Linked DNA regions of Drosophila melanogaster. The protein of the gene in region 2 purifies or fractionates together with the protein of the main gene of each other region. This does not show direct contact. Each region holds a gene or a part of one and is shown on either strand. Other genes may lie near its edges.

Region 1 (3,414 bases), on a different chromosome or scaffold from region 2:
GTTCATAATTACACGTTAAAACTTTTTTATTCATAGTTGATGGCATCACTTAATGAAAACAATATCAATAAAAATAAACTAAAATAAAAAAGAAGCCCACTCAGTAAACTCATATTACTTTACTCAATACAAATACTTCAATGTATTATAAATATATACATACGTACAGACACATTTGCAGCGCAAATGCATTGCATAAGCGCTGGCAATGGAAAACATGGGCAAATGGTTCCACCTTTTAAATTTCGAAAATTCGATATCGGAATATCGAAAAAAACTGGCACCAGAATGTCAAAGAATAGTCAGTAGGGTCTGTTATGTTTTGGGGATGCGTAGCCTTCACTGTCTTGGGAGATTTGGTTCCTGTTGATGGACACATGAATCAAATAAAATATTTAGATGTCCTTAATAATAATGATGATGAATTGATTGGAGAGTCCTTCATACTCCAGCATGATAATGCTCCCTGTTATAAGACCAAACTGATTACTGTTTCTGAAAAATGTTTGCATAAAAACATTGGATTGGCCACCTCAAATTCCAGCCCTCAACTTAATAGAATACCCTTGGTTTAGTATTAAAACAAAGGCGTGCAAATACTTATGCCCACTAGTGTAGTATTACCTACCCAATTTCGCTTCTAAAAGGTTCTGATCACCAAAAGGCACAAAACACGTATAAAACTCGATAAAGAGATTTGTTTATTTATGTTCTTATTTTTAAGCACTGCCCTTCCCTTTAATGGAATTGACTTTAATGGTATTTACTTAAGCTTTGTAAAAAGACTGTGCGAAACGCAATGATCTAACTCAGCAACATAGTCAAATAATTCTTCGATGCAAGTCTCAGTTGTTTTGGATCGCCCATTAACACGATCATTGCACTCTTGGTACTTATTGTACAAGGATTCTATGTGACCTTTAGCTTGACATTTTTCCTGTTGCATAAAAATCAGTTTAGTGTTATATTAAATGATGTAAAGAAATCTTTTTTACCCTTAAAACTGCTTGAGGGTCAACTAAGTCCTCTTCGTCATCAGCTCTGACGGCGGGAAGCGAAAACCAGTTCCTAAAAGCCATTATTAATGCTAAAAAGAGAATAAACTAGTCAGAATTCAAAAACATATATAGTACCAAATTTTATGAATATGAACGTAAATTACATTTTTGAAAAATAACTATAACCTTTAAGACCGCTATGATGCAATCACAATGTATTTTATGTATGCCTGAATTATGAGGGCCAGACCAACAAAAACAGATTATTTTATGCATATATATCAATTAGCTAAGCTTATAGCCTAGCCCCAATAGAATACATCTTTATGAACCGTTTGCAATTTTACCTAGATGTTAAAATCTGTTCACACAAGGTACAATCAAAGCAATTAAAATAATTTTTGGCCAGTTGTCCGCCGTGACGGGGGTCAGATAATTTTTTTTAGGCTATAAACTTTTATTTAAAACTTTTCATAATTTTTTCCTGATTCCCTTGATACATGTTTTTGGAGGCAAACATTTAAAAATGACGTGGTGTTTTTAAAACGAAATTCAATCAGCTAAAAGCTGATAAAAAAAGTGGATAAAATATCTACTGAAAATTAATAATTACTAATTCGTTGTGGGCCAGAGTTGTCTTCTCTGTCTTTTTGGTTCTTTTTGCTCTAGTTTTTAAACAATAACTAATTAAAAGCAATCAAATAAATATATGCTTAAGTGATAGAAAGTTTTCATAAAACTGATGCGAAAACTTCTTTATTGATATATACAACTATGCGTGTTCTCTATAAAATTACACACACAAATAAAATTTGTATTGAATAGTTGTTGTAATTTGTATTTGAATAGGAACCATAGTGTGGTAAAAAGCAGAATAAAAAGACCTAAAATATTTGAAACTAACCTTAATTTTTTTATTAGTATGCGCGAGTACCTTCTTCAACCCGTGGACCATCCGCTCGCATACGCCTCCTGCCCGGCATTGAAATTTTCATTCCATTTAATTTGATGACAGTTCGTTCTACATCTTCTCCGTTTTGACTCCTCAATCTGGCCACCGGTCCACGGCAGCTTATAAAATTCCTCAGTGCGACTGTCGACAATTCCTGGGCCATCTTTAGACCCCGACTGCTGCTTCCCTGAAGTACACACACTTCCGACAGGAACGTGTACTGCAAGAAACCTTGAAGCAGCTCCTAATCCCGGGACTTGGCTGCGTCATTATAGATTACGTAGATTATACGTATTTTGGTAGGTTCATTTGGATTTTCGACACCGAAGTGTGGCAGACACTGTCACTGTCACTGTACGTATCATCTTGACATAGCCATTTTCAATTTCTCTGTATGCTGTCAATGTTGATGACCCTCATATTATAGCTGCCTGTCAGCCTCACCTCGTAATTCTTCCATAGCAGACCAGTTAAGGATTGTAAGCCCACAGTAAACTAAATTCCATCAATCCTACAGAACCGCGCCATATGTCCCTTTTCTAAGCACAGAAAATAGATTCGATGCTTCTTTGCAAAGTTTATTCGAGACATTAGAGACGCATGAGTAAACAAAGACACTAGAATAATTTTAAAAAATGAGGAAAACCTAAAATGGTTCAAAAGTGTGTTTTGGGCGTTTTGTTTGTGTTTGCGTGACCAAAGTGTCTTTGGTATGCCGATTAAAATGCCGGAAGACAAACAATAAAACGAAGAAGAATCAAACATTTTTCAATGGTAAGGTCGGTTTTGGGCGGTTTGTTCACGCTAGAGTGGGCATGGCAAAACTTTTTTTTTTGCAAAATCGATAAAAGACTAATATTAATACGAAATAATATAAAAACATTTTTAAAAAGTGTGGGCGAGGCAGTTTTTGGCGGTTTGTGGGCGTGGCAAAAAGTTTTTAGGAATACCGTTAGAAATTTACAAAACTAATACTGTTTAACTAATAAGCTCTTCTATTAGCTATTTGCAAAGAAAAGACGATTTCTATGCAGCGATCTCGAACGATAATTTATTTTTTTATCAATTGCACGGGTCCCACGGCCACACCTCCCGCCCAACCGACCGAGTGGCGCTGTCGTGTATTGTTTATGCATAAATTACTAAAGAATATGATGAATAATTGGAGAGCGACTTATTTGCAGAGGAAACAGCAGAACTCCAAGTCAAAGGTGTAGGTGCGACCAAAGACACTAGAATTGCATGTGGTATTGACTTGACCGACGCACAGCAGTTCGTAGAAGAGACTAGCGCCAATCATTAAGTCTATGGGTAGAAAACGATGACACTTTGGGTCCGCGAGCGTCAGATTTAGGAATATGTTTCAGCTGAAAATGTCAATGTTTAGGCACGACTGACTTTCAACGACATTGCAAGCAATGGCAGCAGTAATGTCAGTCGAGTAGTTATTTACTGACGAACCAT
Region 2 (4,886 bases):
CCCAGCCAAACTCGCTAACTTCCTGGAAATCGATTGTTTTGTCCTGATCGGTTGCCCGTTCAATAATATGTACGACTCCAAAGAGTACTATAAGCCCATTGTCTCTGTCTTCGAGGCAGAGATGGCCTTGAATCCCGCCTGGCACATGAGATACCCCGAAGCTTATGTTACGGATTTCAAACAACTTCTGCCGGAAGGACGCAGCTTCTTGCCTTTTGATGCGGCAGATATACCAGAGAACGACGTCAGCTTGGTGAGTGGAAGGCTACGAGGAGCGGTCAACGATTCCCTGGAAACAGGTGGAGATCCCGCCTCGCTTGCTCTGGCTACACAAGCCAAAATGGCTCTCATGACGACGGATACCGGGCTCTCCTTCGAGGATCGCACCTGGCAGGGATTGGATCCTGCCCTTGGACAGACGGAGCCCGCCAAGTTGCAGCAGGGACTCAGTGGTATACCCATTAACTATTCACACCAATAAAGGCCTGAGAAACTTATATAACTTTTAGTATTATCGGTTTACTGATCCTCTGGGGGTGAAATTTTCTTTTGAATTAAACTACAATGTCCAACAACAGCGGGGCGGAACCTCTTAAACCCTCAACCAGTACATGGAGGAGCGGATTCTGTTGTAGTCGGGCAGGTTCTCAACGGGACCCACGGCAGCGACGGCTGGGCACCGATCGTAGATGTACTTCATTGCGACGTCGCGCACATTGCCCACACTCACGGCATCGATGCGCTGCTCCAGCTCGTGCAGCGGGATGCGGCGGTTGTAGCACAGGATCTGGCGGCCAATGTCCTCGCAGATGGGTGTGGTGCCGTCGAGCTGCAGCAGCATGTTGGTCTTCAGAAGGTTCTTGGCGCGCTCGACCTCAGCCTCGGTAACCATGGTGCACAGACGCATCCACTCGGTCTGCACGTTGAAGAGCATATCCTGGGGAAGAGGTTTGTTTACGTAAAATTTGCTTTCTCTCGAGAGTTTTCTGTTGAATCATTAATTCTTCTTACCTCGCACTGCAGAGGGTCGCACACGAAGTAAATGCCCCAGAGTCCGGTGTCCTTGTAGCATGTGTTGAACGATTGGAAGCTGTGGCAAAGGTCTGTAGGGCAATAATAGTTAATAATCTCCATATCCTGGTCGTCTTACTGATGTACACTTACTGTCCTCAGCGCTGGCACGGGCCAGGTTGGAGGCGTTGTTGGCGCCACCGCCTTGGGAACGATCCCAAGCACCCACCAAGGTGTTGGCCACCATCAGGGGGATGTTGTCCTGGTCGGTCCAGCCGCAGCCTTCGACGGCGATGGCGACATGGGCCAGGGGCAGGGAATCGTCGCGCACACGCACCTCGGAGCCGGTGAAGCGGCAGGGAGTCACCTCCGCGGGCAGCACACTGGCCTCCAGGCCACCCAAGCTGCTGCAGGCAAGCTTGACCAGATCATCGTGCTTGACGCCGCCAGCAGCGGCCAGAACGATGCGCGAAGCCTTGTAGTGGGTCTGGATGTAGTCGGTCAGATCGGCCTTGCCAATGGACCTAAATAAATGAAGATTTTAATTAGAGACAGAGCATTTGTTATAAGAGCTGAATATACGTACTGAATGTTCTTGGTGGGTCCCAGGATGGTCTGGCCCAGAGGAGTGCCCTGATAGGCGGTGGCGTGAAGGTGATCGAAGACCACCTCCTGCAGGTTGCTCTCCACCTCCTGCATCTCGCGCAGAATCACCGAACGCTCGCGGGCGATCTCAGCCTCACCCAGCTTGGAGTTCTGGATGATGTCGGCCAGGATCTCGACGGCTTTGGGCACATCCTTGGACAAACACTTGGCGTAGAAGACGGTCTGCTCCCTGGAAGTGTAGGCGTTCAAGTGGGCGCCCAGGTTCTCAACCTCCAGCTCCAAATCCGTTTGCGAGCGCTTGGCGGTACCCTAAAAAGTGGCAGAAACGCATATTATACGCATTTAAAGCATCAAGCTAGTGAGCCAACCTTGAAGGCCATGTGCTCCAGGAAGTGGGCCACTCCGTTGTTCTTCTCGTTCTCGGAGCGCGACCCAGCATCGATCCACAGTCCCACGGTGGCGGTAGAGGCACCGGAATCCTCGCTAGCCACGCGGAGACCGTTGTCCAGCTTGGTCACCTGGGTGGCGGGTATGTTCAGCAGAGTCTTCTGTAGGGTGGCAGCCGACTTGTATCGCTGTAAGTTCGGGAAAATTGGGAAAACTATAGCCCAGAGTTAAGTAAAACACGAACATAACCTCAAAGTGCTTGTAGTGGGTTTTCCAAACAGTTTTCCCAAATATTTGTTTGAAAAACTGGATGGCTCTTGAATAACTGACCAACAAGAGGTTGTTTATCCCTTTTCTCACAAGAATAAACCACAATTGCAACCAAAAACACAATCATTTACAATTACGTAATTTAAATCCTCGGAAGCGTAATCATTGGATGGCTGTCTGGACTTACTTTGATCATGTCAACGCCCCGCATGAAGGAGCGCATATTCTGCGTCACGCCAAGAACTCGCAACGCCATCGTTTTATTAATTCGTTCAATAGCCTATTACTAAAAAATATTTAAGACTTTTTCGTCTGTGGCCGCGGCGCTGATGAAAAATTCACACACACACACCAATGTACTGCGCTGCGCAAAGTTGGCTGCGGCCAGTCAGCTGTTCGTGGAAAATAGCCCTGGTGTGCACACACTGGCTGAAACGGCAACACAATTTTTTCGTTTTTCCTGGTTTTCCGGCTTGCTATTGAAATAAACACCTAATTTGGATAGCTAACACGAAAATATTGGCCGACCTAATCAGCTAGGCCTACTAGTTACGAAATGGCGGGCAATTTTTGGCAGAGTTCGCACTCGCAGCAGTGGATTTTGGACAAACCCGATCTGCTCCGGGAGCGTCAGCACGATTTGTTGGCCCTTAACGAGGATGAATACCAAAAGGTGTTTATTTTCTTCGCAAATGTGATCCAGGTGCTCGGCGAGCAGCTAAAGCTGAGGCAACAGGTCATCGCCACGGCGACGGTTTACTTCAAGAGATTCTATGCGAGGAACTCCCTGAAGAACATCGATCCTCTGCTGCTGGCGCCCACTTGCATCTTGCTGGCCTCGAAGGTGGAGGAGTTCGGTGTCATTTCCAATTCACGACTGATCTCGATCTGCCAGTCGGCCATTAAGACAAAGTTCAGCTATGCGTACGCTCAGGAGTTTCCCTACCGCACCAATCACATCCTGGAGTGCGAGTTTTACCTGCTGGAGAACCTGGATTGCTGCTTGATTGTCTACCAGCCGTACAGACCGCTGCTGCAGCTGGTTCAGGACATGGGCCAGGAGGACCAGTTGCTCACCCTGAGCTGGCGTATCGTAAACGATTCCCTGCGCACCGATGTCTGCCTGCTCTATCCTCCTTACCAGGTTTGTGATCCTGATAATTTCTACAGCTTCCTCACATTTGAAGAACCTATTTTTTTCTAGATCGCTATAGCCTGCCTTCAAATCGCCTGCGTCATCCTGCAAAAGGACGCCACGAAGCAGTGGTTCGCAGAATTGAATGTTGATTTAGACAAGGTCCAGGAGATCGTGCGCGCCATTGTAAATCTGTACGAGTTGTGGAAGGACTGGAAGGAAAAGGACGAGATTCAGATGCTGCTGTCCAAGATTCCGAAACCGAAACCACCGCCTCAGCGTTAGAAGAGCTTCATAATCATTCATCATTAGCTGGTATTGCCCAATTGTGTGTTTGTACTCATATTACCAATGTATTTATGCCAATTAAACGAAAGTTTAAGCTAGGTGACTAAGCAATCAAAAATGTCATTTACAAATTATTTTGCCTTTATAATAATTATTTCTAAATTAAATTACATAATTGCTTAAGATTAACATGCGGTACGGATCGTCTGGATTTTTTATGGTTCATTTAACCTACAGATACTTAGCTTGACCCCTGGAGAACTTGGTGTTCAATATCTTGGCCTTGTCTACAATCTGCTTGGTCTGATTCTTGTCGATCTTGTTAAGTTTCAAGTCCACATCCCTACTAAAAGGTCTTCGTTCTGGCTTGGAACCCGATGCAGCCAGTTCTTTTTCCTTAAATTTATAACAATATTATATCCATATTATGTTTTTAAGAAATATTTTTCCTCGTACCTTTTCTCTCTGCTCTTTCCTAAGCTTTTTTTGATGTAGCTCCACTAGGGACTCCTCTCGCTTGTGCTTCTTTTTGTGCCTCTTGGCCATGCTCTCCTGCTCGTCATCCCGCTGCTGTTCGTACTTGACCTGTGCCATTTGCTCGAGTTCCTTCGAACTGAGCGACTTTGGGCCCGATGCAGCAGCATCCGCTTCACTCTGCGGGGTCTTCGTCCAGGATGATCGATCGCTAAAGTCGGGTCGCTCTTTTCCCTGATAGAAAGTGCGCTTCATATTGCTCAGGGCGGCAAGGCCGCTCTTCAGTCCCACATCTGGCAGCTCAAGCATCCACTCTTCGCGGACATCTTGGTCTGTAGATGTACCCAATCCCCCGCCCTCCAGAGCTGCCAGTTTAAGTGCCAAAGCACGTTCCTCCAGAGCCACTTGACTGGCATTTGGCAGAGGACCAAAGGTGCCAGCTAGGTCATCATCGTCCTCAGCTTCCGCTTCCTTAGTAGGAGACTTTTCCCGGGTCAAATTGCTGGGCAGGACGGGTCCTATCATGGCCTGCGGTTGTGGGGCTGGTTGGCTTTGCTCAGGGAGTTCCGGCTGCTGGGTCTTCCTTAAATGCGGCGGTAAAGCGGGACCAAAGGAATCTTCGTTGTTTGTAGCCACATCTGGCGGAGATGCATTAATTAAATGTGGAGGTTGCGTGTAAGGCACAGGTGGCTCCTCCTCATGCTTGCTGCGTTTC

The links.
Region 1: the proteins of UQCR-C1 (region 2) and UQCR-11 fractionate together in Drosophila melanogaster (co-fractionation; one study listed by BioGRID). This does not show direct contact.

What each region holds. Positions count from the first base shown.
Region 1 is NT_037436.4:25,118,567-25,121,980, reverse strand, and holds UQCR-11 (Ubiquinol-cytochrome c reductase 11 kDa subunit), read right to left. Parts: upstream 1,233-3,414; 5' UTR 1,163-1,232; intron 1,104-1,162; 5' UTR 1,080-1,103; coding exon 996-1,079; intron 938-995; coding exon 764-937; 3' UTR 610-763; downstream 1-609.
Region 2 is NT_033777.3:14,888,002-14,892,887, reverse strand, and holds UQCR-C1 (Ubiquinol-cytochrome c reductase core protein 1), read right to left. Parts: upstream 2,658-4,886; 5' UTR 2,531-2,657; coding exon 2,462-2,530; intron 2,193-2,461; coding exon 1,986-2,192; intron 1,927-1,985; coding exon 1,598-1,926; intron 1,536-1,597; coding exon 1,165-1,535; intron 1,104-1,164; coding exon 1,012-1,103; intron 938-1,011; coding exon 593-937; 3' UTR 501-592; downstream 1-500. Other genes in the region: Dph2 (diphthamide biosynthesis 2), read left to right, coding at 1-481; CycC (cyclin C), read left to right, coding at 2,831-3,418, 3,479-3,694; CG33332 (uncharacterized protein), read right to left, coding at 3,929-4,093, 4,154-4,886.